Struthio camelus: one gene and its partners. The protein of the gene in region 3 interacts with the protein of the main gene of each other region in a pairwise test. Links are inferred from orthologs where the notes say so. Each region holds a gene or a part of one and is shown on either strand. Other genes may lie near its edges.

The links.
Region 1: the proteins of CCNDBP1 (region 3) and ZGPAT interact in binary tests that used the Homo sapiens proteins (3 or more experiments, as listed by UniProt). The two-hybrid records come from large-scale screens. The link is inferred for Struthio camelus from reciprocal best matches to the Homo sapiens genes CCNDBP1 and ZGPAT.
Region 2: the proteins of CCNDBP1 (region 3) and myelin P2 protein interact in binary tests that used the Homo sapiens proteins (3 or more experiments, as listed by UniProt). The two-hybrid records come from large-scale screens. The link is inferred for Struthio camelus from reciprocal best matches to the Homo sapiens genes CCNDBP1 and PMP2.
Region 4: the proteins of CCNDBP1 (region 3) and STK25 interact in binary tests that used the Homo sapiens proteins (3 or more experiments, as listed by UniProt). The two-hybrid records come from large-scale screens. The link is inferred for Struthio camelus from reciprocal best matches to the Homo sapiens genes CCNDBP1 and STK25.

Annotation. Positions count from the first base shown.
Region 1 is NC_090959.1:17,914,774-17,922,505, reverse strand, and holds the start of ZGPAT (zinc finger CCCH-type with G patch domain-containing protein), read left to right. Parts: upstream 1-4,716; 5' UTR 4,717-4,851; intron 4,852-5,036; 5' UTR 5,037-5,193; coding exon 5,194-5,837; intron 5,838-6,601; coding exon 6,602-6,735; intron 6,736-7,501; coding exon 7,502-7,660; intron 7,661-7,732. Other genes in the region: ARFRP1 (ADP-ribosylation factor-related protein 1), read right to left, coding at 372-442, 986-1,067, 2,121-2,203, 2,680-2,767, 3,163-3,255. UniProt on the Homo sapiens protein: Transcription repressor that specifically binds the 5'-GGAG[GA]A[GA]A-3' consensus sequence. Represses transcription by recruiting the chromatin multiprotein complex NuRD to target promoters.
Region 2 is NC_090943.1:125,897,731-125,904,727, reverse strand, and holds the start of myelin P2 protein, read right to left. Parts: upstream 3,012-6,997; 5' UTR 2,933-3,011; coding exon 2,860-2,932; intron 1,349-2,859; coding exon 1,176-1,348; intron 919-1,175; coding exon 817-918; intron 1-816.
Region 3 is NC_090959.1:19,674,936-19,682,224, forward strand, and holds the start of CCNDBP1 (cyclin-D1-binding protein 1), read left to right. Parts: upstream 1-4,287; 5' UTR 4,288-4,339; coding exon 4,340-4,430; intron 4,431-4,506; coding exon 4,507-4,566; intron 4,567-5,219; coding exon 5,220-5,299; intron 5,300-6,022; coding exon 6,023-6,104; intron 6,105-6,555; coding exon 6,556-6,652; intron 6,653-7,289. Other genes in the region: ZNFX1 (NFX1-type zinc finger-containing protein 1), read left to right, coding at 1,716-4,148. UniProt on the Homo sapiens protein: May negatively regulate cell cycle progression. May act at least in part via inhibition of the cyclin-D1/CDK4 complex, thereby preventing phosphorylation of RB1 and blocking E2F-dependent transcription.
Region 4 is NC_090950.1:3,608,259-3,615,239, forward strand, and holds the start of STK25 (serine/threonine-protein kinase 25), read left to right. Parts: upstream 1-3,980; 5' UTR 3,981-4,063; exon of another isoform or gene 4,064-4,067; intron 4,068-5,625; 5' UTR 5,626-5,700; coding exon 5,701-5,751; intron 5,752-6,981. UniProt on the Homo sapiens protein: Oxidant stress-activated serine/threonine kinase that may play a role in the response to environmental stress.

The DNA of each region.
Region 1 (7,732 bases), about 1.8 Mb from region 3:
TTCCAGGAACAGCATCATAAACAGAAGCTCACTAAACATTGTTTTGCTGAATAAACATGAAAAACAGGATTAAAATACCAAGTCACAGCAAAGAAAACCCACCAGAGCTAAATAGTTCGTTCTGTTTACGTACATGGCTCAAAACAGCCAAGATGTACATGTCTATAGTCAGCTCACTTGTGTCACTGGAAGAGGGCTGGAGGAAAAGGAAAAATGGAAAACTAAATTCACAGCAATTATTTCTAGGAGAAGAAAAACTTTGTTAGGCACCAGTCCAGGGACTGGAAATAAATTTGACATGAATAGACACAGCCCACCTTTCAAAGGCGTATTTGCTCGTTGAATAACTACATCTTCTGCAATTATCTTACCTCTACATCCTGCTTGTTAGCTAACACCAGAATAGGAACCCCTTCCAGAGCTTCGCTAGTGACCATCTTCTCTATAAAGCACAAAAATAAAAAACGAGAGAGGTTTAGCTAATTCTAGAAGACCAAGTTGTGCAAATGCTTGACACAAATTATCTGAACATAGGGAGGAAGCAAGAGGCACTTCCTTGTGCTAGTTTGATTTGATCCAAACTTTCAGGACTGCATTCATCACAGTATCTTTTTTCAGATCAAGTTCAAACTTTTATTTTGATCAACAAGCACTTTACTAAGAATTAACTAAATACAGAATAAGAAATGAAAGTTCTGAAAGAATTAACATAAGCAGAAAAAGAGCCTCAAGGTCTTTATAGGCAATGAAACTGACGATTATCTTACGGACAAGACAGACCATACTCTTAAATAGCTCACTGATTTCACTGCTTTCACCTCAGAAACGCAGCCACGTATCATGCAAAGGTTCAAAAGCGCTACAGACATGCCATCAACAGAACACAGCTTATACTTCAAGTACACAGGAAGAGACACGATTGTAATGAAAGAACTGTGACACAATACATCAGGAAACCACAGTACTGATAACACAGCATACTCACCAAACGCTCTTTTAGATTCCGAGAGCCTCTCCTCATCAGTGGAGTCAATAACATAGATCACTCCATGAGACTCGGCATAATACTGGAATGGTAACAGATATTAGTGTACTTAACGGCTAAGACTATCTCCTCCTCATACCCTTTTTTTTATCCGTATGGAAGAGAGAACCAGTTGGAGCTAGCTGTTTCCATAATATTTGTCTGGAGAGAAGAATGGTGGCATGCAAAATGCATTGCCTGTCCTATTTGCAGGTCTGTTGAATAAAATAGGTGAAGAAGTTTATCTGCGTACTCCTTTTCTAACCCAAGTGATTGCAGGCAGAATTTGATGTTTTTTAAGCCTGATAAGACATACTACTCAACTGTGCAGTTGAAGTGATTGATAACAGGATAGCAGGAATGCATGTCTTGATCAAACAATGAAGTCAAGGGCACAGGTAGCATGCTTGGTTGGCCTGCGAGCATATTGCTTTAATATTCTTTGCCGGACATCTGGATGCTGCATACTGTGCTCAGGGTTTCTAATAACGCTGCAGTTAACGTACCTACAAAACACCATGCAGCTGGGCAGACTGTACCCTCTGCTCGACAAGAACAGATAATACAGAGGGAGACAAGTGTTGATATTGGTATATACTTTGCTTCTGTGCGGTACTGTAAAAGCCTTGGAAGTGCTGAGCCCAGAAACACATCTCAGCTCTTACCTTCCTGCTTTCATCAATGTTCTCCTTCCCTTGCCCTGATTTGCTGTACAAAACAGCCCAGAGAACTTGAAATCATATTTCATTTTAGTTAGAACTAGACTGTAGCTTTTATTTGAGCTAGCCAAGATCTCTTTTAAAGTCCCTCTGTAACTTTGGGTAAGGAAGTTACCACTGATATGACCTTATTACATACAAACGATAAAACTGGCACAGTCCTCCCACAGAGGCTGACAATTAGTTTCTGTAAACAATAATGCAGATGTTAAGCATCATCTTTGCAAATCTTGCACGGATAAAATTGAATCTCTGGAAAAGTATTAATGCTAAATACCTGGGTTACCAGTAAGCCTGTATGAGTACTAAATGATCATATTTCTCCAATTGTGAAAGAGGTATCAGAACATTTATAAAAGAAAAATTACTTCCCCAACCTTGTCCCAAAGAGACTGTAGCTCCTCCTGCCCTCCAAGATCCCAGAACATCAGTCGAGTTTTGCCAACATCAATAGTACCAACTAGAGGGAAAGAAAAATTCAATCCAATGAAAACTGACTGCGTGCTCTAAAGGATCACGCCTACACAATGCCCCTAAGTAGGGATGGAACAGTCTTCTACAGGAGCAAATCACATATAGTACTACTTATAACAAGAGAACAATACCTTAGAAAATAGTGGCCATAAGATTGGGAAGAGTCACATCAGCATAAACAGGATGAGAATCAGCCCGTGAACTCCAAAGAAACTTAGTTTAACTTCTAAGCACAGCACTGAAAGGTGACACACAACTCTTAAAACTTCAGGGTTTTTTCTTCAACAGCTAAGCAAGCCAATTTATTCTCTCAGAAGAAGTATATAGGGAGCGAGGAGATAAGATCCCTATTTCCAGGAACCACTTTGCCCTTGTCAATTCTTCTTAAACATTTCAAGGAAGAAATAACTGTTCTCTAACTTTACAGGAAAGGTGGAAAATTTTCCAGGTGGATTTACTTACTGTTTAAGCCTACAGTGGTTGTGATTTTGGACAAACTCATCCCTTTGTAGTTTTTGTTAAATCGAGTTTTAGTTTGTTCAAGGAAGGTCTGAAAAGGAATAAGAAAGAGTAACTACTCTCAAACATTGTACTGGCATGTATCCAGTAATCTTAACAAAAACCTGCCTTTTCCTTACGGCAGAATCTTGTCCCAGTAGCTACTGCCCTCTCTAACCTTGGAACAAACCACTCCTCTTGTTCCCTATTTCAGCAAAGAAAGAAGAGATCCCAGGTGATTACGGGATTATCAAAGTCTCAGCGTAAGCTTTCAGGGATATAGCTAAGTTTAAATACAGGGAGAGGAGTTGACTCTTGGGGGCAATATCCCTAAAATATCCTGTCACGAGTTAGACTGACCTGCCTCTTGGAAGTTTTGCCTTTGGAGAATAGGAATGTTTACAATTGCACGTGCCCTCCACGTAATTGGTAATTAACAGCACTTACTGTTTTACCAGCATTGTCCAAACCAAGGATCAAGACGCAGTACTCATCCCTCTGGAACATGTATTTATAGAGTCCAGATAACAGAGTATACATCCTGCTCCTGCAACAAATGCCAAGAAATTATTAATAAATGGGTCACTCCCAGAAGTCTTTCATTCCACAATGCAAGTTTTTCCAACATCAGAGAAGTAAGTGGCATTATTCTTTTATCAGTAACTCTCATATTTAGATAACTCCAGGACAAATCATAGATCCAAGTCCACGGGAGAAAAAAAAAAAAAATCAAGTTTTCAAATGCATATAAGTAGGGGGTCATCTTATGTAGAGCTTATCCCTGTTTATGCACATGGCCAAATTTTGATAGTGCATATCATCCAGTGCAAACCCACTACTCATTTGAAAATGCTCCTGTCTGTTCCAAGGCTTAAAGGGGATCTGAATGTTCTTGAAAGTCTTTCAGAGTACATACATGGTCCACAGAATGAAATCAATTGCATACAAATACACAGAATGGGTATTTGGAGCAAGAACACGCTCTATACGACTGTATCATTGGCTCTTTAATGGTCAAACTGACAGAGTATCTTACTTTTAAAGGCTTGTAAAAAAGACTAGCTATATTAACGTATGCCTTCTCCAGCAACAGCCTTCTGTTCCACGATTCACAATTCAAGTATTTTATCATCTTGCAATACCATGAAGAGAAGACCGGTGACTAGCCAAAAGCACAAGACCGAAAATAAGACTAAGTGACAGCCCCTGGCCATGCACGTACTCTTTTGTTGGATTTGCACAAACAAGGCAGAGAAGATTTGCTAAGATGCAGGAAGTCTCGGTACCAAGCACCACAGCCGGCTCCCTTAGCATTACAACCACCCTTCAGTTTAAACAGACCGGGGGAACCTCAAGGCAACAACTCTGAGAAGCCGCTGCCGTGCAGCGAGCGTGCAGATAAATAATCGTTTTGAAATGCAATAACGTTGCCTGAGGGGTAGAAAAAAAGAAAAAAAAAAAAAAAGACTTCCAGCCTCAGCACGGCAGGTTTCCCAGGCTGGACCGCAGCCAGGGCCAGGCCGGGAGGCCCGACGCGGCCGGCGAGCACGGACCCTTCCCCTCCGGCTGCGCAAGAGGAGCCGGAACCGGCCCCGGCCTCGGCCCCCGCGGCCCTTACGGCCGCCACGGGCCCGGCGCGGCCTCGGGCCAGGACAGGCCTCCCTCCACCGGGGCCCGGCCCGAGCCCCGTCGCAGCCGGGCCTAGCAGCGCCTCGCAGAGCTGCCATCAGACACGGCAGGGTCCCCGCTCCTCCCCCCCACCCCGAGCGCTGAGCACGGAGCCCGAGACCCGCGGCCCCTCACCGGACACCGGAGACACCTCCCGGCCCCCCGCGCCTCAGCGCTCCCCTTCGGCACCGGCCGCCGGCTTCCCCCCCCCCCCCCTTCCGCGCGGCACCCTGGGAAATGTAGTTCTCGCCCCGCGGTCAGAGCGGCGCGACACCCCTCAGGAGGACTGCGACTCCCAGAATGCCTAGCGCCCTCACGGCCACAGCCTGCGCCGGCGCGGTAGGGGAAGTCTCCTAGCCGAAACGGCGTAACGCGTCGGCTAGAGGGGCCGGAAGTGGGGTGGCGTGGAGGACCGGAAGTCGGCGGGGTGTCATGGCGGTGCCCCGGGAGGAAGGGGAGAGCTGGGGGGTGAGTGAGGCGGGCGGGCGGGCGGCCGGCCGGGGCCGGCGGCGGGCGGCGGGCGGCGGTGGCGGCGCTGATGGCCGTGGCTCTGGGCCAGCGCTGAGCGCCCGGGCCGGGCTGACCCGGGCCAGGCGCCCTTGCCGCAGGGCGGCGGCCGGCGGTAACGCGCCGTTCAATGTCCCTCGCTGCAGGCGCCTCGTCGGGCCTCCTCAGGGGGAAGCAGCAGGACGGCGGGCTAGGCGGTGGCGGCTGCGGACGAAGACCTGCTGATCGCTTTACGTGACCTGCTTGAATGTGTTCTGCGTTCCCAGAAAGGACACGGTTAGAGACGCCTTCGTTGTGCTGATAATGGACGAGGAGAGTCTGGAGGCAGCCATTCACACCTACAGCGCCCAGCTGCAGCAAGTAGAGCTGGCCTTAGGGGCCGGCCTCGACCCGTCCCAGCAAACGGACTTGGTTCAGTTGCAGGAAGACTTAAAGCAGCTGATAGAGCTGACTGAATCTAGCCTGGTGTCTATTAAAAAAAGCAAACTTCTTGCAACCTTAGATACAAACGCATCCTCCTCCTCTCCTGCAGGTCCCCTAGAGCAGGAGGCCAACCTAGACAGCTCTGCCCAAGATGAGGAATATGCTGCTTTTAAGGAAGCCATTGGTGAGCTTGGAACTGAGGACAAACCTTCAGCTGCTGATCATGAGATATCATCAAAGAGAGATGAAGAAACTGATGAGAAAAGTGAATCTAAGTACAGTGAAGAGGAGGATGAGTCTGACAGAGAGGAAGAGGAGGAGGAATTGAGTGGGATGAAGGTTAAAGCCCCGTACTACAGTGCTTGGGGGACCCTGGAGTACCATAATGCCATGATTGTGGGCACAGAATACTTAGAAGATGGCAGTGCAGGAGTCAGAGTTCTGTATCTCTATCCAACTCACAAGTCTTTGAAGCCGTGTCCATTCTTCTTGGATGACAAGTGCAGATTTAAAGAGAACTGTCGGTAAAAAAGGGATGGGAGGGAGTTTGTGGCCTTCTTGTTGCTAAAGGCCTTGGCATGCAAGGGAAGAGACTGCTCTAAAAGTGCTGTGTTTGGCTTTTGTACTAGATGGAATTTTGCCAAATATATGTAATTTTTTCTGTTTTTAAAATATGACGTGGTAAATTGGCATCAAACAGTTTGACTGCTTTCTTCAGGTAACGCAGAGGTGAAATGGAAATTCCCATGACAAAATGCAGATGTTTTACCTACTCCATTGCGTAGCTAAACTAATAATTGATTAAGATGTTAAAAAAAGAAAAGTTAGTCTGTAGATAGCACATACATACAGGTTACAGAGAGAAATTGTGGTGTCTCCATCTTAGGAGATTTTCAAAACTTAACTAGATAAGGCCCTGAGCAACCTGATCTGTCAATGAGGCCAGTCCTGCTTCAAGCACTTCCAGTGTGGACTAGAGACCTACGTTTCTGTGTGATCCTCTTTATCGAAGGATCTGTGAAATTTTTTACTGGGTACATCACTAGCAAAAAAAGCTTAATGCTCTGGGATAGAATGCGTTGTCAGATGGCACAAATAATATCTTTAAGATGAAAACTGAAGACTGTCTTGTGTAGTCGAAATAGCGTGTGATAAGACTTTGATAATTATCAGCGAAGATTCAGTAGTGCTGATAACTTGTCACATTTTCTTTCGTGAGGGAAGGAATTTTTATTTAAACCCTTTTCAAGTGGTGTGGATATAGTTCTTCTTTCACCGTTCCTGGCAGGTTTTCTCACGGGCAAGTGGTGTCTGTGGAAGAGCTTCAGCCGTTTCAGGAGCCCGATCTGAGCACTCTGGAGGTGGGCTCGGCCTGCCTGGCAAAACACAGTGATGGAATATGGTATACTGCAAAAATAACTGGTGAGTCTTGTTTTAGTGTGTTTTGCCAGGCTGCTGCATGGAGGATGAACACGGACACTTCAGTGAAATAAAAAAGTTGATTGTTTTGGTTGATGATAGAAAAAAGCTGACCAGGTTTTTACATGCCTAAACTGAACGTTTTGAAATAGCTGAGGAAAATATTCTGAGTTTTGTAGGGCTTGGGATGGGAAGAGGCTAGAAAACAGGAGAACATTAGACAAGAAGGCAACCCAGGAGCAGGAATGTGAGGTTAAAAAAAACTTCGTAGTCATTAGCTGAACTGGTAGGGGAGAGACAGGTATTGCAGGAACTTGCATGAATACTGGAATTGCAATAATCTGTTCTTGTTTAAAGAAAAGCCAGGGGAGCTGGCCTTGCCTGTCAGTTGCTGATACAGGCTCCTCTGTGTCCTGGACAGGGTAGGGGTTTATTCCCGCTTTCCTGCTTTCTTTGACTGTTGCTAGGTCTGAAGGAACAAATCTGCCTTCTCTTTAATTCAATTTCTCAGCAGCCCATCTTTCATCACTTTTAGAAATAGACCTCTAAGTATCAACACAGAAACTGGAAATAGCTCTTCATTGCAGCATATAATTCTCCCTTCTAGACCGAAATCTCAAGCAAAAAAGAATTCAGAGGTTTTTTTTTTTAAACACATGTTCCCTGGGCCTTCCTCCTCTCCCACTGAAGGTAACTGTTCTGTAGAAAGCCCTCTTACCCGTTGCGTATTGCACACTTGAACTCCTGTCCATTGCTTTTCCTTCTGTAGATATCGACAGTGGCTACTACACTGTGAAGTTTGATTCCCTGCTGCTAAAGGAAGCCGTTGTAGAAGGAGATGGTATCATTCCTCCATTACGAAGTGAAGATGGCGCCTCCTCTGTTGAATCTGATGAAGACAGTGTTGATGATTCTGGCTACGCTAAAGGTAGAGAGTGGGGAGGGCCTAAGCAAAAACGGCCTGTGATCTAGGCTACCTCCTCTCTGGGACCTAATGAGT
Region 2 (6,997 bases), on a different chromosome or scaffold from region 3:
GAACAAAGTACTTTACTTTATTCAATGATAAAATTTTAATTCTATTAAGAAGTACTACAACTAAGGCCCCTAAAATGTATTATTATACTGGCTTGGCTTTCCTGTGGCTTTCTGTGTGTCTGTTGGAGAAAGATAGGTTAGCCTTGGTGAGAGAAAGAGATAATGAGGGAAAGTCACCACTCCCTAGCCTTCCTCAGAGACTCAGCTCTCATAGTACCGAGGGCTTTCAGTGGAGCTGTCAGGACCTGTCAGTCCCTGCTATAGTTTATTATCGCAAGAAGACCCAGAGACAGCAGCTTTCACGCAAAAAACCTCAGGCACCCGCTTAGTGAGCCTGGCATGCTGACACGGACAGAGCAAACATACATTTCTGAACTGATTGGCATTAATGGAAATAGACATGGGAAAAGTTGTAAAACCTAAAGTGGACGTGCTTTATTCTGAATATAGAAAGAAGGAAAGACAGAGCTAGTCCAGGCTTAGATGTATATGACTTGCAAACTTTGCATTTCACAGGTTCCTATTGCTTGAGAGGCTCATTTGTTTTCAGAATAATAACTTTGAGAGCAGTAAATACGTTCTCAGATCATGGCAGCTCTGCCAATATAATCACTTTAAAGACAATTTGTTGTAAGGAATAAGATTTATTTCCTTCCAACTTGTTTCCTAAGCTTGTTTTCCCTTTTCTCCCTCTTTATTTCTCTTGTAAGCCAAAGAGAAAGTCAAAGTTGATAGATAATTTAGACTGAAACAAACTGAAGGCTTCATCCTTCTACCATTTGGCAGTTTACAAGGAGGGAGAGCATAGGTACTTACCACCACCATTTTCCCATCAACCAGTCTTCTCCTTATCGTGGTCTCTTTGCCGTTCCATTTTTGCACTTGCAGCAATGACCCTTTCTCGAGGGTTACAACACTCTGCAAAGGCCAAGAGACGAGTTTCAAAATGTGATCCAAGCTTCGTAGATTAGAGTAACAATTCACTTTTTGGATAGCAAGATCCACATTTTCTACTAAAGACACACTTAGTAACATTGATGTCAGCACCATACTGTTTCCTCTTTCGGTACTTTCTTGAATAGCTTGGAAATTTCATAGCGGAAAAACTCCTCCTGGCTCAATTCTAGGACGTCAGGATCCCTTAGAGATCGTTTAGAGATTGTTAGCCACCTTACCTTGACTTTCCGGTCATCTGCTGTCATTTCATCAAACTGCTGGCCCAGTTTGAAGGAGATCTCTGTGTTTTTGAAGGTGCTTTCAGTTCTGATAGTTACTATGTCCCCTTTCATACTGATGATCACATCAGGCTTTGCTAAGCCACCTAGTTTCCTGGCAGCTAAGCCCACTCCTATAAATTAGAAAAAAAAAATAGCATTACATCCTAGGAAGCAAGAAACTCATTATAATTTCATAAAACTTCTGTGAAAAAATAATGAAAAGTTTCTTCTTGAATACTATAATGTCTGATTCAGATGAGACACTGCTTCCTCATATGTGGAAGCTGCATACAGTATTGCTTTCAGAGGTTCAGGCATCCCCAGCTGATGTATCTCCAGCAAGAAATAAAGATATACACGTGTATACAGCTGTGTACATTTAGCTAAGCAGAAACTTAGACGGTTACTAACCTGTATTGTTTCTGTGCAGTGATAGAATGGGTAGAAAAATGCATTGAGAAGGACTATAACTCATATATCTTGCAAAAATCCTTTTATTTTTGCTATTCTTGACAAATTTGGGAATCTGAGCTTTTGCTGACCAGCTGCAAGGAAGAAACTAGTGACTGAACTCCCAGTATGCTGGTGCTTATTCTTCAAAGCACAAAATATACTGGTGCCCAAGCAATTCCTAGGTTACTACTACCACTGCTTAAAGATCCTAATGTCTGAATCTCAGTGAAAAGTTCAGGCAATAAATAAAAAGAAATTGAAATATAAGAGTGCAGAGGTGCAGAAAACTTCAGTAAAAATCCTATGTCAAGAGTCTTTTATATTACCTTGTGCTATTCTTCTCAATTCATGGTCAACAAGTTACGAGGTCTGAGGAAAATTAGAATAAAGGCCACTGATGATGTAGCCCCATTTTATAAAAGCAGAACAGGGATAGCTATAGTTAATGCCTTTGTTAATTCTGTGGTATGCTCAGATGAAAAGATGGACACAAAAGGATATAAAGTTATCTGTAAAGTATAACACTAGCTGCAGTAATTACTCAATACTGAAACAATTCTGTTCAGATCTTCAGAAAAATGTCTGTAGCTAGATTTTCATCCCACATTTACTCTGCTTAATTAATTAACTGAAGTTCTTTTGTTACTCAGTTTAACCTTTCAAATAAAGAGAATTAATGTTTCAGTGAATCATTTATATAGCAAAAGAAATGCTGGAACTGACTGTCTTTGCACTTGCTATATAGAGATGAAGTCAGCATTAAACTAAAAAACAATGCTCAATTTATTACATTCCTGGCATTCTTCAGTAACAGATAGATTCATTCATAGAGTTTAGACCTCTGAAACCCAAGTGTCATGAGACATCAGCTCCATTATATATTGTAAATTATCACAAGTCATGAGTTTAATAGTGCAATCAAGAGAAACCAAAGAAGTCCTGCATCTCCGTAGATCCTACTCATTACAGGAAAATAGATCATTCAGATCAGTTAGACAGAAGTAAATTTATTGTAATAATCTAGTAACTTTTCCATTTTAGATGCTAACAGTAATACATGAGATCATACTAGAAGGTAATTAAAGTGCTTATGGCCAAGAAGAAGACATTACCTGTGAGCAAAGCATAAGATGAAGAAAAGACATTGCTAAAGAAAACTTATTAAAAAAAAGAGAATAACATTTCTCACCCAATTCTTTCATATAATCATCAAAATTTTCACTGGAGACGAGCTTCCAGGTTCCCACAAATCGGTTACACATTGTATTGGCTTTACAAGGCAGCGGTCCTCCAGAGAAACGCAGTGGCAACAGCAGCTCTTGGAGGGAGGCAGAGGGACTGTGCCACTGACTCAGATCTCAGTCGCCTCCTTTTAAAGATGCCCCATTCTTATAACGGGCAGGAGGGGCCAATAGGAGAGGCAATGCTAGGGCCAGACAATGTGTACCTTGTCCAAGGCCAGTTGTGTTAGTACCAGGGCTCGGGGTGACGCCTGCCAGGGCTTCCTCCACTGAATAAATCAAGGCAGTGAGGAGTGTATGGGGATGGGGACGTGAGGCAGAGCAGGCGAGTGACATGGTGGTGGGGTCTGAGCCACATGCCACCAGGCACGCTACCACTGTACCCCTGTGAAGCCCAGCTCTGGCTTTCCTCCCAGTACTGTAACCCCTGCTATCATCATTATCGCTGCTGTCACCTGTATGCTAGTCAGTTAAATCAAAGCTGCAGGGATGTGGGGAAGAGATGGTGAGAAGCTCCTATGCATAAAGCTTTTTTTTTTTTTTCTTTCATGGCCCATCCTGGAAAGGGGGTGTGTATTCTGCCCTTTAAAGACAAAATTAAATTATTCTGTCTTGTTGTCTGCTTTTGCATCAGAGTAATGATGTCAAACTGTGGGTTCTGCCCTGCATGTACCCCAGCAGCACCATGAAGAGAAGAGACAGCCAGACTTTGCTGCCTTCCTTCTTCCACAATCAGAAATATATTCAGAAGATCAGTGCGTAGGTTCTGATCAGGTTTTGTGCTTGGCAGGTGGAGTCATCAAAGTGCTTAGTTCAAAGTCACTTAGTGAGAGGTGAGCGGGTTTATTGGATTGGGAGGAGGGAATATACTCCTCTCTCTCTGCCTTTCTGCACCAGGGTAAGTGGTCTGTCAAAGAGTTAGGGGCAGATCTAAGGAAGTGCAGGCATATAAGGCCTTGCATTCAAATGTATCCTATTTTTCCCAGATTTGTTCTGGTACCCTGCTGTCATGAAGGGCCATGGTCTCTTCTGTGCCATGTGAAATAGAGAGGGCCACTCATGACAGGCCTTCCTCTACCTCCATATGAGAAGATGCAAGAACCTGCTGCAAAAATCTCTTCTTCCAGTGGCATTGTGAATTAGAATGTGTAAGTATGCCTCCGTTTCTACATATATAACCTAAACCTCCAAAAACAATGCACTTTTAGAATTATTGTATTGTGGTTAGTAAGAAATGGAAGCAAAGAACGAATCCATAGACCATATGTATATTTGAAGGGCAGGAATGCAAAGCATTGTAATTCAAGACACCTCAAAGTATCTGAAACTACTTAGTGTAAGACAACAACAACTAATTCTGTCCTTCCCTTTCCTAAACCACCTTCCTAGTAGGAGAAAGCTATTATTTGCTACATGAAAGGAATAGATGGCTTATTTCCTACTTGTATGAACAACAGCTGCATGTTCTTTTTTGCATCATTAAACTTTCTAGGTTGTGACCATGTACAGGAACTTCTCAGATCTCCATTGTAAGGGTGGCGGTTAGCTAGGAGGATAAGTCGTGGGACAGAATCTCTCATGTTTAGGATGGAAAGAGTCAGAGGGAGCTGATGCTGGGCCTAGGAGACTGAGGTTTGGGTCCTCTCTCCAGAGCTGCCATATGTGGCGGGGGGGAACATGCTTAAACAGAAAAATGGTGCAATCTGAGCAGGGGAAAGGTTATAATCTCTGGATTGTACTGTGGTGGTAGGGATATGTCTTACATTACAAATTTTGTTTGTACATATAAAACATTTTTTCCCGTTAGTTGGTCAGAACACCAACAAGGTAAGTTCAGTAGAATTTCACATTTCCTCTCTGGTCTAACTACAGTGCAGTGTAAGAAGAGAAGGTCCAGAATAAGTGATAAAGAAAACTAATAAAAGGGCAACTCCTTCTCCCCACAGTAGGAAGCAGAGGCTCTGTCTGTCAAATGTAGTAAATGTCAATCTGTGAAGGTGTGGTCCACTACCTACTTTAGAAACGACTTTTCCAAAGTACAGATGCATCATATTTCATGTGAAAGAATAGCCAGCTCTTGTATCTAGTCTCTGGAAATGAGGGGGATCCTCCTAAATTAACCTTGCCATTATTTCTCAAGGAATAACATGATAGTATTCTACCATTGCCAGGCATTCTTTGTTCTTCCATTTAATTGTCTTATCCACAGAAAGACACTTTAACAAGGCAAGACTGGTGTCTGTGGAAAATAAAGTGGAACATTGTAAAATCAGGTCCAAAGAAACTGAAGAAGATCAAATTAGTCAGAATAGAACAGCTATACTGCAGTACCAGTAACCTTAAGAACAAAAGTGACAGAGAATTATTGATGCAGACAAAAACCCAGTCTTAAGCAGTCTCAAACAATGTTGACATTGCTACCATTTATCTCTTTGTCATTAAGAAAAATCAGCAGTTCCGTTTAAAGGGTCTACAGTCTAGAAGGAACAAGAACATGGAATTCTATCTTCAGTAGAAACAGTATATGTGGAAACCAATCTTTTCTTCAAGTGTAAAGAAACAAAAAAGATTGTGAGTATATGTAAATGATAAGAAGTAGCCTCGATTCACTTTTTCTGGTTAGAAGAAAAGAGGATGTAAAATTAATGTAGCTGGAGACTGTGAAGTAGCACTAGAGACAGGGATAAAAGCTGATAAAAATAGAGATAAAAACATGCAGGGAATATTTAAAGATATATAAAAGGTAAATTTACTGTCAATTTCTTGAAAGGAAAGAGAATATAGACAAATATCATCCAAAAAAATCTACATTAAATTCCTCGGACAGTAATAAAGAAAACAGAAATGCAAGTAGAGAACAGAGGCTGAACCCCTTTTCACTTAGGGCACCGTGGAAGTTCCCGCACTGTTGCTCTTGCCACCGAAGGCTCAGCTCTGAACACGGGGCCAGGAGTCTATCTCCTCCCGGTAGTTATACTAGAGAGTGCAACTAGCCTTTTGTCACTTTGGATTGTGAATCCCTTGAGACAAGGACAAGATTGCTCAGGCCAATGGAAACGTAGCAGTTCGGGGCCGACCATGGAGCTGGGCTTGACAATCCAGATGGCAGCACACAGGCTTGGTCACTGAAGTGATCACACAGAGTCTCATGGTTACACATATAGCTCAGGGATTTGTAAACTCCAGATGGATAGGCTGTCCTGCAATACTGGGCGAATTCCCAAAGTGCTAGCTGAATCTCACCAGATGAATCCAGGTCCACTGCCAGTGAGCTCCAGCTGCCTAGCTTCCTCCTCTGGAGGCAGCACACGCTATCTTACCTACCTGCTACATAGCACCACTATACCATAAAATCAAACACAAGAGAAGATGTACCTGACAAGCTAAACCAAGAGCACACTTAAAAAATACTCCGAGTTCCTTTCAGTGGAAACCAAGAGTTAAAGGAAACACAGAAAATGACAGAAAGTTTGAAGTGCAGAATAAACCTTGCTTTATCCTTCTCTTGAGCTGTTACAAATCTGGGGGTGTGAATCCCCCTTCCCCCTTGTCATTGAAGAAACATGTAAGGGATTAGTGAGTGAATGCAGTAACTAGATAAAAATCTCGTAGCACTGAGAGGTGTCTGCTGCAATAGGCGTGTAGCCCATAGGGTTTGCAGCAGTCTGGTGAGAACCTCCGTTTTTCAAAGAGGAGCGCTGGAGAATGCTGTTTCTGATTTTTAGAGTAGTTCAGCACATCGCAACAGAAGGAGAGATCTTTTCTGCTCTGCAGGTGAGGACAACTCCCTGACCTATGCATGTAGAAATGCATATTGTGATCTCCATCCAGGTCTGAGTGTATAAACCCCTGACTGTTCTTTGCCAGAGAAGATTTATCTCTATTTATTCAAAAAATCACTAGGCTGATACCTTTCTTACAGAAAGTTTTAGACACGTCCATATTCTGAGAAAGTATCACTCATACTTCCTTACGGTGCTGGCCCAATCAAAGTTTATAAACAGAATGTCACTTTATTGACGTCTGTTAACAACTGAAGCTTTAAATGGCTTTTCTTTCATTAAAAAAAATTGATCCTTGATTCAT
Region 3 (7,289 bases):
TAAAGAAACTGATATGTAAATCAAGGAAACAAGGTATACAGAATTAGGCAAATAACATGTAACTTTGTCTGGCATTAGCAACTGTAGGCATTGTAAATGGATCCAGTATTGAAGACTGTAAAAGAACAGACAAAAAGGAAGATGGACCAAAAGAGTTGTATGTGATTGAAAGCTAGGAAGAAATCTTAAACGAGAGACTTAGAGCATAATTTGTGAAGCTCCCTCATAAGATAGGTGACTTGATTACTTGGGTTCTTTATTTTGGCACCTTTACGTGTACACAAAATCTGCAAGCAGGATCTATGCAGTTTAAAAGTATAAACTAATCGTTGTTAGCTAACGTGTGCAACCAAACAGCTAGAATTTAATGATTTATTAAGCTGAGCATTGGTATGCTTGCCTCACCATAAGATGCCTGAAATGTCTTTGCAAGTCAGGCAGGCCTCAATCAGAAGAGGAAAGGTCAGCCTCTGCTGCTTCCTCAATATTACTGAGCTTCCATTTTCCACTAACTCCCTCCTTTCTGATTTTTTTTTTTTATTTCCCTGCCCCACACCAGTTATGATTTTATACCTTTCTGTGTTAGTGCTTATCTTTTTATCTTTGAACTAGTAACAATCGTACCTATGTAACTTTTACCTGCCCTATCTTGCATAGCCCTGTTCTGCAGACTTTTGCACAGCCCTCTGTCACAACTTAACAATTTCCTCAGAATTCTGAGTCAAGGTGACAGCAATGCTGTGTCCGAGCTAGGTCTTGAATCCTTGGAACCCAAGCAACTGAATACCCTGGGAGAAAGAATTAGAGGTGGTTACAGAGAGGATTACAGTAACTTAGTCTACTTAGATCTCTTTGTGAAAAGACAGTACTCGTTAATGAAAGCTCTTTAAGTGAATGAGATAGGTGTACCAAAAACCACTGTAAAATGCTGAAGCCAGGCAGGAGAAAATGAATAGTGAGGATGATTACTTACTAGAATAAGCTGTCTCTAGGATAAAGTTGCATGTCCCTTCTTTGTATCTTCAAATCCAGATGAAGTATTTTGTAGAAGATGCCTTATTTAAAAATAGCTACTTAGGTCAGGAGAAACAGGATAAAATTTTGTGGTCTCCTATAAGGTAAGCTATTCTGGAGAATGTTATGATCCCATCTGACCTTTTTTTAAAAAAAAAAAAACAAAAAACTGAGATATGATAATTTTATCATTTTAGATTCTTATCTAGTACAGTAACCAACAGAGGTGACAACTAGATTAAAGTATACAGCAGTTACTGCAGCTATGGTCACCTTGGAAAACCAGAGATGTGTGTGTGATCCACGAAAAGTGTTCTTTCCTGAAAAAAGCAGTCTCTGTGTTTTGGTATAACAGCCCAAGAATTCTTTGTGGGTGGAAGAATTCCAGTTAATAGGCAAAAAAATGAAGGTCCCCATTAACCCAAGGCAAATGGAAGTTTTGGACAGGTGAGCAGATAACTCACTAAACCCCTGCAGTTGATGACTATTGAGTGACTACTGGAAATGTCACTAATCAGCTCAAAGTCTCCTCTGATGAATATACTATGGAAATCTAAGAGGCAATTATTTTAGGAGAGGACTACAGGATGTGGTTACTGCATACTTAAAGAATCTTAGTAAGGGATAATCAGAGATATGGGAAGAGGCTGTAGAGACAGAAGGTAGAATTCTACTTCTGAGATTCTTTTCTTTTGTTTCAGGGGGTCTCATCTAACCTCTTCTTTGTGGAGCATGACTTTCCTGAGCAAGAGATCCAGGAAGGGAAAAGCCACCAGAACCCACATGAGGCCCAGTTTGTAGTGGAATTGTGCAAGTATTTCTTGTGTCAGGATTATCTACCTTCTCAGATCACCATTCTTACTACCTATACTGGGCAGCTTTTCTGTCTGCGTAAGCTCATGCCGGCCAAGACCTTTGCAGGTGTGAAGGTTCATGTAGTGGATAAATACCAGGGGCAAGAGAATGATATTATCCTGCTGTCGCTTGTGCGGAGCAACAAAGAGGAGAGATCAGGGTTCTTGCAGATCTCTAATCGGATATGTGTAGCATTATCCAGAGCTAAGAAAGGGTTGTATTGTATTGGAAATATGAGAATGCTTGGCAAGGTTCCTCTCTGGAGCAAGATCATTCACACCCTCCGGGAGAAAGGCCACATTGGCCGCTCCTTGATGCTTTGCTGCCAAAACCACCCTGAAACCAAGACACTGGTATCTACTGCAGCAGACTTCAGCAAAGTCCCAGAAGGAGGTTGTAGTCGTCCCTGTGAATTTAGGTTGAGTTGTGGACATGTTTGCACAAGGGCATGTCACCCGTATGACACACAGCACAAAGAGTATCAGTGCCTGAAGCCTTGTCAAAAGGTGCTTTGTACAAACGGGCATCGCTGTCCGCAGTTGTGTTATGAGCCCTGTGGACACTGCATGGTGAAAGTTGAGAAAATTATTTCCAAGTGTGGCCACCGACAGATGGTGCCGTGCTCTACTCCAGACACTGAGTTTTTTTGCCAAGAACCTTGTCAGAAAAAGTTGAACTGTGGGCACAGGTGCAACAAATTCTGTGGGCAGGAATGCACTACAAGGTGTCCTGAGCTGGTTACAGTTGCACTGAAATGTGGCCACATCCAGCAAGTGAAGTGCTGGATCACTGAGGAGATGAAACAGGGGATGCCTGTGGAATGTAAAACTAAGTGTTCTGTCACGCTGGAGTGTGGTCATGTATGCTCGGGTTCCTGTCATTCCTGCTTTGAAGGAAGATTTCATAAGCCGTGTAACAGCCCATGCAAGCGCTTCTTAGTCTGCTCCCACAAGTGTCAGCAGCCTTGTACTACCGAATGCCCTCCATGTCAGCTGGACTGTCAGAACCACTGCATTCACAGCAGATGTAAAAAGAAATGTGGAGAGCGCTGTTTTCCATGTGCAGAGCCATGTGAGTGGCGATGTCAGCACTATCAGTGTACCAATCTTTGCTCTGAGCCATGCAATAGGCCTCGTTGCAATGTACCGTGTACTAAACTACTGCACTGTGGACACCCTTGTATTGGATTGTGTGGAGAGCCCTGCCCACAGAAGTGCCTTGTCTGTGACCATGAAGAAGTCACGCAGATCTTTTTTGGCTTTGAGGAGGATCCAGATGCTCGGTTTGTACAGCTTGAAGACTGTGGCCATGTTTTTGAGTCCCAAGGCCTTGACCACTATATGGATGAAGATGATGATGTTATCAAGCTGAAGGTGTGCCCTGTCTGTCAGACACCTATCAGAAAGAATTTGAGATATGGCACCATTGTGCAAAGGCGTCTGGATGAGATAGAGAGAGTGAAAGAGAAAATCCAAGGCCCAGTACAGGAAATTGAATCTAGCAGACAAAGACTGCAGGCTGCACTAGCAGAGAATGCTGTTCTGCAGAGGAATCTACCCCTTAAGTACCTTATGCTGGAAGATAAACTGAGAGCCTCTGTTCTGTCCACAAAGAGTATCGGACTAATTGAGAACCAGCTTAACTTCTATGACCGTCTAGCTGATCTGACCAATTCGATGAGCAAAATTGATGCAAGTGAGAGGAAAGGGCTGAGGAAGCGTCTGGATGAAGTCCAGGACTGGCTGGATAAGCCACGCCTCAGTTTTACAGGGCAGGAGCTCTCTGACCTGCAGGCTGAGATCCAGAGACTGACCTACTTGATGAGCCTCTTGGCAAGGTGCAAAGGTGCAAGTGGGAGGATCACCCCAGCCCTTGCAGAAGAGATTGCCAGTGTACGTGAGATCCTGGAAGGGACAAAGAAATTCACAGAGAAGGATGAGGCTGCAGTGAAGGCTAGATTAGAGAAGCTCTGCAGTGCCCTGCCTGTGTCAGGGCTGGGGATCTCTGAAGCAGAGCGGGTGCAGATTGTCAGTGCTATTGGCTGTCCCCGCGGTCACTGGTTCAAGTGCAAAAATGGGCACATCTATGTCATTGGGGAGTGCGGGGGTGCGATGGAGAGGAGCAAGTGCCCCGAATGCCGTGCGGATATTGGTGGCACAAACCACACTCTGGACAGCACCAACAGCCTGGCCCCCGAGATGGATGGGGCCACGCACGCTGCCTGGTCCGACACAGCTAACAACCTGCTCAACTTCGAGGAGCTCCGCAGGCTGCTGTAGAGGCCTCCGCGCGGGCTCGCTGCTGCCCTTGTCGTTAATAAAGTGTATCCGTGCTCCCTTGTGTCTCGTCTGTCAGCGCGGGCCACGGGCCGAGCGCGGGGCGCGGCCCCCGCCGGCACCGCCCTTCCCGCGTCGCTACCCGGAAGCGGATGTGACGGCCGTGAGGGAGCGTCGCTGGCCGCTCCGCCGCCATGGAGCCGGCGGGCCCGGGGCCCCGGCAGGCGCGGGAGCCGCTGCGGGACCTGCGGGGCGCGCTGCGCGCGGTGCTGGCGCGGGTCCGAGGTGGGGGCCGGGGCCGGGGCCGGGGCCGGGGCCGCGCCGCCTCTGGCCTGGCTGAGGTCTCTTTCTGCCTTTGCAGAGGGCGAACCGGGCGAGGGCCGCGAGCCGTTCGAGCCGCCGCGCTTCTGGGACGCGCTCGGTACGGAGCGGGCCGGGCTAGGGCGGCGCTGGGTCGGGCTGCTGCGCGGAGCAGAGCGGGGCCGGGGCTGGAGCAGGGCCAGGCCACCATGGGGGACAGAGCTGGGCTGGGCAGGGGCAGGCACTGGGCAGACACGTTTAGCAGTTTTTGTGGGTGGTGTCAGTGGCAGAGCTGGGACATCGTGGTGCTGTTACATGGCACGGCTATGAGTTGCAAGAGAGGTCACCAGGAAAGTCTCCAGTCAAGGCTCCTGCCCTCGTCCTCGATTTCCTGGTGTCATTGACAAAGCAGTGGGCAGTATGGAGTGATCGTCATGACCGAGCTTTTTAAAGGCTTTGGTCTCTGTTAAAGCTTCCTGGCGTGTCCTGGTAAAGGTAGCATGGGCTAGGTGACAAAATGTGATAATGGATTTCAGAACCAGCTAAGTAAAAAAGTAGAATGGACAGTTTAGTGTGACACAGCTGCAATGTGGATTTTTTTTCCTCTGCTGTAGCTTACATTCTTGTCATATTTAGAAGTGAGAGACAGTAATCAGAGAGTAGATGTTAGGGCAAAGCAGCATCAGAGAGGACGTTGCTCATCTAGCTGCTCTGTTTTTTCATCTTTTACTTAAGATCCTGATAAATGTCTTTTTCCCATTGGATCATTCTTAGGTCAGACATTCAAAGCAACATCACAGGAAGCTACGAAGCTGAGTCTTGCATTCTCAAGGCCTCCACTGCCTTCTGCAGAGGTGTGTGAAAGCCCCCACAGAGTGTGAAATTGCAGTGCATATGATAAGTTTCAGATATCTCCTGACTGGCTAGACTAAAATAGAGTCGTTGGATTTAATGTAAACAGGGCACATTTGCGTGGACTATAGGTTGCAGAATGTATTAATCCAGTTCAAAAATTGTCTAAAGAGCTAATTTCTGGAATTTGGGAGGGGTATACCAAATAGAAGTATTCTTATATTCCTTTCTTTAACATTATTTGGCACGTACAACTGCTTGCTGGTGGAGACAGTATATTGGGCAATGTGGATCTTAGGTCTAACTAAGAATGGAAGTGTTTTTGCTGTTAATTGAGAGAAGTTTTAACACACCTGTGCTTGAAAGAGGGGAAAAAAGACCACCAGTTCAGAACAGTGATCTAAGCCGCTTCTTCCTCACTGATGCGTAACCACCAGACTAGCGGGTGTTTTCTGTTACTAAACTGTGAGGAAATTCATGATGCATACAATGAGTCTGCAACTCTAGCAAATTACTCTGTTCTGTGCTTGTAGACTTCAGAAACGCTTAAATGCCGTAACTTACCATTGTGCTGTATTTGTTTCTTGAGCCAGCTGGCCATTGCTGTGCTTCCCTACAGTCTTTTTTCAAAGTAATCTGGATTTAAATGGTTGCTTGTGAGACTTTCTAAGTGGAACGCAGCAATGCACTTTTCCTGGTTAATCTTTTTGCCTATCCGTTTTTAGGATTGTCGGAAGCTGAGTGAAGACGTCCAAAATGCGATTCTTGCAGTTGCCACAGTGTACTACTCGCTCCCTAAAGGCCAAGGTGAGATGGTAACAGCAGGGCAGTGCCAGTTCTTTCATCACTGTATGATGAAGCCCAGTATCTCAGAGCCCGGTAGGAGACCTGGCATCTACAGGAAATCAAGTTTTCATGAGCAAAGAGAGTCCCATTGTCAGCTATTCCATAGACTTGCAACATGGTTGTGAGTGAACCACTCCACTGTCTACTTCTGCGGATCTCCAGCTGTGGAAGAGTGATAATGTAGGAAGAGGTATAGTTGATTGAGTGTTCGTATTTATAAAACGTTGAGATTTTGCCCAAAGTCCTTTTGAAACTCAGGAACAAACATCGCTTCCTTCAAAATACCTGTAACTTTATTTATACCATGTGTCTGCATGAATGGAGCTGCCTGTGTGTTCATCTTTGGCAGTTGCTTTCTGTCGTTGCTGTCTTTTTGTTGCAACATCGTTGCTCTTTTCTCAATCTCAACCAGGTACTACTCTTCGGAAGATGGTACGAGATGCTACTACTGAGGTAGTGGAAGGAATGATCCAGCTCACAGAAACAATTCTCAATACTCCATTGGAGAGGTAGTGCTTTTCCGGAAAGAAGAGAGAAAACATTACAAGTATACTTGCAAGGGGGCAGCAAGTGCAGGCTGCTCCCAAAGGGAAGGGGGGAGCCAGGAGCCGACCATGGTTATAAGGCAGGCAGAGGCAATGCCCTCACCAGCAAGGGCCCAGTCTCACAGTATCTGATTGAGCAGAGCAGGCGTGGTGAAGGTGGCCGCGTTCAGTTGAGAGTTCAGATCCTCAAACAAGTCTATAGCGACAAGGTACGTTTGAGGTCAAGCTGGAGAGTCAAGCTGGCAAGTCATGGTCAGGATCAGATCCTGAAACAGTAAACAAGGTTAGACACAGACCAATGATTGCCCAGTTGGGTCAGTGGTGAATTGGGTCCAAGGTCAAGTCAGGAAGTCAAGTCAGGATCGGGGTCGGAATCGAGGGGATATGAGACTGGGTGCAGACATAGCCACCACACAGCTATGATGTAGCACAGACAGGGCCCAGCCAGAGAACCTCAGCTTGAAAGTATCTTCTAGGGGAAGGAGGGACTGGGCCTCACTAACTTTCTTCATAAGAGCTCTTAATAGTAAAAGAACTGACCTTGGACTTAGCCAGATAAACTCCTTAACTGAGCCATCTAAAGTCCTAGGAGGGTAGAATC
Region 4 (6,981 bases), on a different chromosome or scaffold from region 3:
AAGCAGTTAAGATGTAGAGCATTAGTTCCTGAGGTCCTTTCTGCACAGTTTGGTTTGGCCACTGAGTAATTCCAACCCAAGGCAAGGCTGCAGAGATACCAGACGCTGTTTCCTCACTAGCATTCTTTGCTTTTGACAATTGATTCAGCACCAGGCTGACCCTCTTTAAGATGTCTTATTATACTCATTTTTCTAATGAGTATAATACCCTCTCCACCTGACCCAAGTAGCAATGCAACAGGCAGAGATATGTTAATGCAACTACAGCATGTTTACCTTTAAGCAGGGAAGCAACTTCGAGACATCTCACTGAAGAGTTTCTTGTTCTCGAAAGCACCTGGTGAAAGGCACTGACCATCAGGAGAGCTGGCTGCAGGATCCCTTGTGATCCTGTTTGATATTTCCTATGGAAAAGTAAAAGATGTGTTACTTCAAGGGAATGTTTAAGAGCCTATCAGTCAAAAAGCTTCTTATAGCAACTATTTACACCTATCTCTGAATTTCACATAAACATAATGGAGTGGAACAGTTTATTGGACAAAAGTTTGAAATGCCTCATTCAAGGTTTCTCTGTTAGTGAGAGAATTACCCGTCACCTCAAGCAGTATTTCTGCCACACTGTCAACAACGTGCAACATAGTTTTCAGAAGTAAATCTTTTTACAGGGAGAACGTTAAGCAATTTAATTAGCACTTTATGCAGGCCAGTTAATTTCCTCTACCTACCCTTAAGTAGTAGCAATAACCTCAGATGAAGAAAAACTGAATATATATATATATATATATAAAAAATGAATGAGCATTATAACCAAGAATCGTGTTCAGGTGTCAACCTCATGGCTCCAATTTGGGCAAAACATTATGCTTTGAAACCCTTCTTCAGGCAGAGGCTGATCTAGAGCTAAAATCTTCAGGTTTCATTACGAAATAAGAACAGGTGTCTGGAAGAGATGACCCTCCAGCTCTTAATCTAGTTTTTTTTTATTCCCAATCTCTAACCTTCTGCTTTTAAGAGTGCCAGAAAAAAAAAGAACTAACAAATCAGCTTATCCCTTCAAGAAAACAGTACTTTTTAGAAGTTATTTGCTCTCTGTAGTGAGGAGAAAACCCAACAATATATACAAAAGTCATTCGTTTTTAGCCTTATTTTCCATACAACGAAGCATATACAGCCATATAACACACAGATGGCAAACATGCATGCGTGCGTGTTTACATAGTTGACCCTTTCCCTCTCACAGGTTTTGGCCAGTTGTAACCAGCTTGGGAAGAGGCGTCGCAACAGCCAAAATACCAAGTTCCTACAATTTTGTGAAAGCAGACAGGGAAGAACTTATTAATGGCACCACTAAGTTAAAGGCTAACCAGGCCACCTTTTTCTAGGCGTCAAAGGACTTGCACAAAACAAAGGGACGGCAGCAAGGCTGGCTCAGCTCCTAGAGCCGCTCTTTCCATCAGCCATACTTACTTTCATGACTAACCTCATCAGGAACAAGGTAACCTTCCACGGAGTCAGAAGGAACTGCCTGTTCGTTTTCACACTGACAGGGCTAGGGGGAAAAAAAAACACAGTCTTAATCCCAGAGTCCCTTTCAGATAGCCCTGCTTCCTTAAGGCCAGGTGAAAGCTTTAACCCTAAATGGAAAGCGATACACCTTCCGTAGGCCTGGTGCCTCCAACACATAATTAACTCCCCACTGCCTTCCTTCAGTAGAAATATTTGCTCTCTCTCATTTGTCTGGCTGGCTTATTTTAAACTTAAACCTCTTGGAGGCAAGGACTGTGTGTTTTTTCTGGGTAGGTACAGCCCCTAGCACAATAAGCACCAAACTTTTTGGGTGCTAAAGCAACAATTATACATAAAACTTGCAGCATGATTGTTCTGTAATCGCCCTTGCAAACGTTAAAAAATATACGAGCTGGTTTCCAAGAATACAGCATCGACCAAAAAGTAGGGAATTAATGGAAGAGGACATTTTTATTTTGCTTCTGCTCCAGTTGATATGTCGCTGAAGGTCAAATGGAGGAGGTGATGGACACAAACATGCCATTGGTGGCCATAGAGAAGTTAAGGCCGCCTGCATCCCCAGGGACAACACTTTGGCACTGCGTGGTTTTGAGTACATTAATAACCCTCTCCTCGTAAGAGAAAGTTAGAGGAATAACTGCCTCACAACGAAGCAGCGATCTCTAGGCCTATGTGGTTTGCCAAAAGCAGACCGATTAGCTATTGACCTGTAAATGGCTTTTTCCAGATGGCAGCTGGACCACAGTTTTCATTCCAACTTTCCTGCTCATCCAAGTATCCTGTTGCTAAGAGGCAGACACCCCACCGGTCCCAAATGGGAATTCAGGTCGCACCAGCCTACACCTGAGCGTGCTTGTCTTCCTGCTCAAAAACTGCTGGCCAGCTTTTGCAGTTTCTTTTAAGATGGGAACTCAAGTACTGATCATCCTTATTAAAGACTTACCCTAAACCAAGCCTACAAATCTAGTTGATTGCCATTCCTCCCAGCAGTTCAGGGTCGCTATTATCACGCTCCTGAACTATTCAACACTGGGCCAGCCTAAGGTCTAGGGGTGATGTTAGTGAGACAGCTTTTTGGCTCTGTTCAGACTTGCTGTACTTATTCAACCTAATAAACATTTCTGTGCGGCATTTGCCACCTTGCCAAGAATGCAAGTACATGGATAAACTCCTGAGTCTGCATGATATAAGAACCCAGGCCATCAGGGTGAAACACCACCTGAGTCACACACACATGGGGACTCATAACTTTCCCTACCACGTGGGTGACACGTGTGTGTGTGTGCAAAAACATGAGCAGAAAGGCAACGTTTTCACCCCTTCGTCCTTTCTGCAGGAGAACTGGAGCATAACCGCATTTTTCCTTCCTTTCCCTAACTGCTGATTTTCTTTCGCGCGTCAGGTATTTCAGATCAAATAAAGCTTCGATTCCTCTGCGTCTCCCTAGACTTTTTAAGTCAAGGTGCTGCGCTGGGACAGGGATATGGGTGTGAGGCGAGGTTATCATCATGGAAAAAGCTCTGTGCGTGGGCAGCCACGTCGGAGGCAGAAATTTGTGCCCGTTTTGTTAACTGAGAGGAAAACTTCCAAGGCCAGTTTTTAAGGTGACTGGCAACAGAAAGGCGGAAAGCGGCCTGACCGGGCTGCTTCGCTTCCTTAGGAAATATTCCCAAACCCTCCGGTTTCCCCGAAAGAGGGTGAATTTAAACGGTGCTCTGCTGGGGTTTGTCGGGACGAGCTCTTAGCATGGCCGCTGGGAGGATGAGAAGGCCGAACCCTCAGCACACCAGGGCGGGTTTCCTCATTCAAAAGCTTAACCAGCCACTGGAGAGAAAGAAAAAAAAACCACCACCACAATGAGGAAAGCGCTGCTGACCAAAACGCTCGCTTCGCCCCACCTCCGCTCACCCAGCTTTTTTTTTAGCCACCCAAATTTGCTCTTTCCAGCCCAGGCAGGGCCTGTCTCCCCGCAGCAGAAGCCGAGGAGCCGCGGGGAGGGGAGGCAGCCGCCTCCCGAGCCCCTCGGGCCTCCACACAGGCCGCGGCCCCAGCGGCGCCGCCCACCCCCGACCGCCTCGCCGCGGGGGCCACTGGGATCGGTAGTCCTGGCCCCGCCCGGCCTGCCCGCGCCCGCCGCGCCGCAGGACTCTCTCTCCCAGAAGCCCTCGCGCCCACGCCCTCCCCTCCTCCTCCTCCCGCCGCGCCCCCGCCCGATGCCTGCCGGGCCGTGTAGTCCGCGGGTGCCGCGTCGCCAGGGGCGGGCGGCGGCGAGGGAACTACGTCTCCCAGGAGGCAGCGCGGCGCGGCCACCTCACCCCCCCTTCCCCGCCCCCCCTCCCCGCCGTGCTCTTGCGCCCGGCCCTCCCCTCCCTTCGCCCGGTGTTCCCGCTGCCGAGCTCGGTGTCCCAGGGCGGCCCCGCGGCGGCGGGGGCGCGCGCGAGGCCCGGCATGGCGCCGCGGCGGCGGGGGCGCGCGTCGCGCGGGGGCCGTTGGCCGTAGGGGCGGCGGCGGCGGCGGCGGCGGGCTGCCCGCCCGGGTAGGTGCGGCGGGGCCTGGGGGCTGCGGGGGGCCGAGCGGGGCCGCTGGGGGGAGGCCGCGTCGCGGGGCCGTGCCGGGGGGCGTCCTGAGGGGGCTGGGGAGGGCTGGGGGAGCCCCGGTGGGAGCACTGGGGAGGGCTGGGGGAGCCATGGTGGGAGCCCTGGGGTGGGGTGTCCTGAGGGGGCTGGGGGGGGCTGGGGGAGCCCCGGTGGGAGCCCTGGGGTGGGGTGTCCTGAGGGGGCTGGGGGGGGGGCCGGGGGCGCCCCGGTGGGAGCCCTGGGGTGGGGTGTCCTGAGGGGGCTGGGGGAGGGGCTGGGAGAGCCATGGTGGGAGCACTGGGGAGGGCCAGGGGTGCCATGGTGGGAGCCCTGGGGTGGGGTGTCCTGAGGGGGCTGGGGGGGGCCCGGGGGAGCCCCGGTGGGAGCCCTGGGGTGGGGTGTCCTGAGGGGGCTGGGGGGGGCCGGGGGAGCCCCGGTGGGAGCCCTGGGGTGGGGTGTCCTGAGGGGGCTGGGGGGGGCCGGGTGAGCCCCGGTGGGAGCCCTGGGGTGGGGTGTCCTGAGGGGGCTGGGGGGGGGGCCGGGGGCGCCACCGTGGGAGCCCTGGGGTGGGGTGTCCTGAGGGGGCTGGGGGGGGGGCCGGGGGCGCCACCGTGGGAGCCCTGGGGTGGGGTGTCCTGAGGGGGCTGGGGGAGCCATGGTGGGAGCCCTGGGGTGGGGTGTCCTGGGGGGGCTGGGGGAGCCCCGGTGGGTGTCCTGGGGGGGCCGGGGGAGCCCCGGTGGGAGCCCTGGGGTGGGGTGTCCTGAGGGGGCTGGGGAGGGCTGGAGGTGCCTTACTGGGAGCACTGGGGAGGGCTGGGAGGGGTGCCCGGGGTGGGGTGGCATGCCCTGGGAGTCTGTGCCCTGAAGGGACTGTGCTGGGGCTGTGTTGGGGTGGGCCAGGGCGTCGTGCGGGGCCGTGCAGCGTTGGGGTGGTTTGGTTGCTGGCACAGCGGGGCGCCCTATGGGACGGGTTGCTGAGGAGCACCGAGCTTGTTGGGTCTGGGGGTGCTTTGGGGTGGCGTGGGGTTGGGGTACCCTGACGAGGGGGAGGAGGTGTGCTGGGGAGCTTAGCTTGGCAAATGGATGCACTGGGGAAAACGGTACCCTAAGTGAAGCACGCGTTGAGAGGATTACAGGGGAGCCCTAGGATGGAAGGGGTATGTGAGGATAATCCGGTGGAGCGTCCTGGGGATATATCCTGGGAGCTGTGGTGACGGCAGAGTGCCGTAGCGGCAAATATACCGGGGAGCGTGGTGAGGTAATGGCAGGGAAGAGGGTGCTTGAAGCTGTGTCGGTGCCTATCGTTAAAATGAGGTTCCTGATCTGTCTGGAAGGCACGTCTGGAGAAAAATTGCGAGGTGGGGTTTGCTGATGCAAGGAGGGGCTGGCACACTTTGAACGGGTTGATGGGGTCCGAGGCAAACTGCAGACTGAGCAGAAAAAGTTGAAGGTAGTTTTTTGGGGGAATGAGCCAGGCTCTGGGAACCTTGAGTTAGAGTTGCTGTGTTCTTGCTTGTCACAGCTGACCAGTGGATGAGAAAGCACTGCCTTCCCGCTGTGCTACAGCAACCCAACCTCCCTGATTTCGCAGACGCGGATGTCTGACCATCCTGTAGGCATGGCTCACTTGAGGGAATTTGCCAGCCAGGTAAGTGAGGATTAAAGATTTGTTTTAAACTCTTGCATCAAGAGCAGACATAACGCTTCCAGCAGGTAACTTTTTGCCACTGTTTCTCTCTTGCACACGTCTCATTACTCCTGTTAGCTGATTGATTTCTGTCTTATTCCCTGGTGGTGTTTGGCTGACAATGTTAGGTTGCCCCGCTGTATAGTGAGGGGATTCTTCTTCCAGTGCAGTGCTCCTCTCTGAGGGTAACTCTGCTCTTAGGGAGAGAGAGATCTTTGTCTCTGAGTGTTTTTTTTAGGAGGGCTAGGCTAGAAATGGGATCAGAAAAGCTGCGTTTACAGACTGCGCCAGATGTAGTGTTTTGGCAGCGTTCACAAGAGTAACCTGGGAAGAATAGTGCCTGTAACCCTATGCATGAAGGGTAGCAAAATTTGGTACTGAACACGTCTCTCTTCTGAGAGAGATGTCAGCCCCAGGGGATGTGGTTAACTCCTGTTGTTGTGATGCCATTTTCTTAAGAGGACATGGAAGGATGATGTCGTGACCTGGGACTTAGAACTGAACCACGTTAATAGTATCAGCTTGAATCTTGTTTCTTCTGAAATTGGTTGTGGAGTATGTTTGACTATTGGCAGACGTCAATACTGAATATAGACCCTTTTAAACCATGTTTTAGGAGAATTCTGGCATTTTTCTATTCTGTTCCTAGATGTAGAATTAAACGCTAAAAGCTTTAGTGGTTTGAGATAATGCTTTCTCCAAGCCTTTTCAGCATAACATTGATTTGCAATGCATCTTAGTTTGCATGCTGTCTTTCACATAAACTGTTTCCCCAAACAGTTGTGGAATTAAATGCAAATATAGAACCTGAATGAGTCATAATACAGGGAGAGAAATGAAAGGAATAGGAGAGGATGCTGTTTAGTTAGGACTGGGAAAATTTGAAGTGGCTGAGTTCAGTAGCTACAGAGAAGGTTCCTCTCAAGCTTGTAAATAAGTAGGTAGGAGAGTCGAGCTGAAAGCAGCTGATAAAACCAAGGAAGATAATTGTGAACAGAATAGTAGGGAATTAATGAAACCATTTGTGGATGGATTTATGTAAATACCGACAAGCTGTCAGTTTAGGTGCGATGAGCTTTTTATATACAGCATTCACTGATAAGCTTATCAGAGTTCCAGGGCTCTAAACTCTTAATTTATTATATAAATATCATGCATTCTCAGATTCTGTCATACCATGACTCTCTGTCT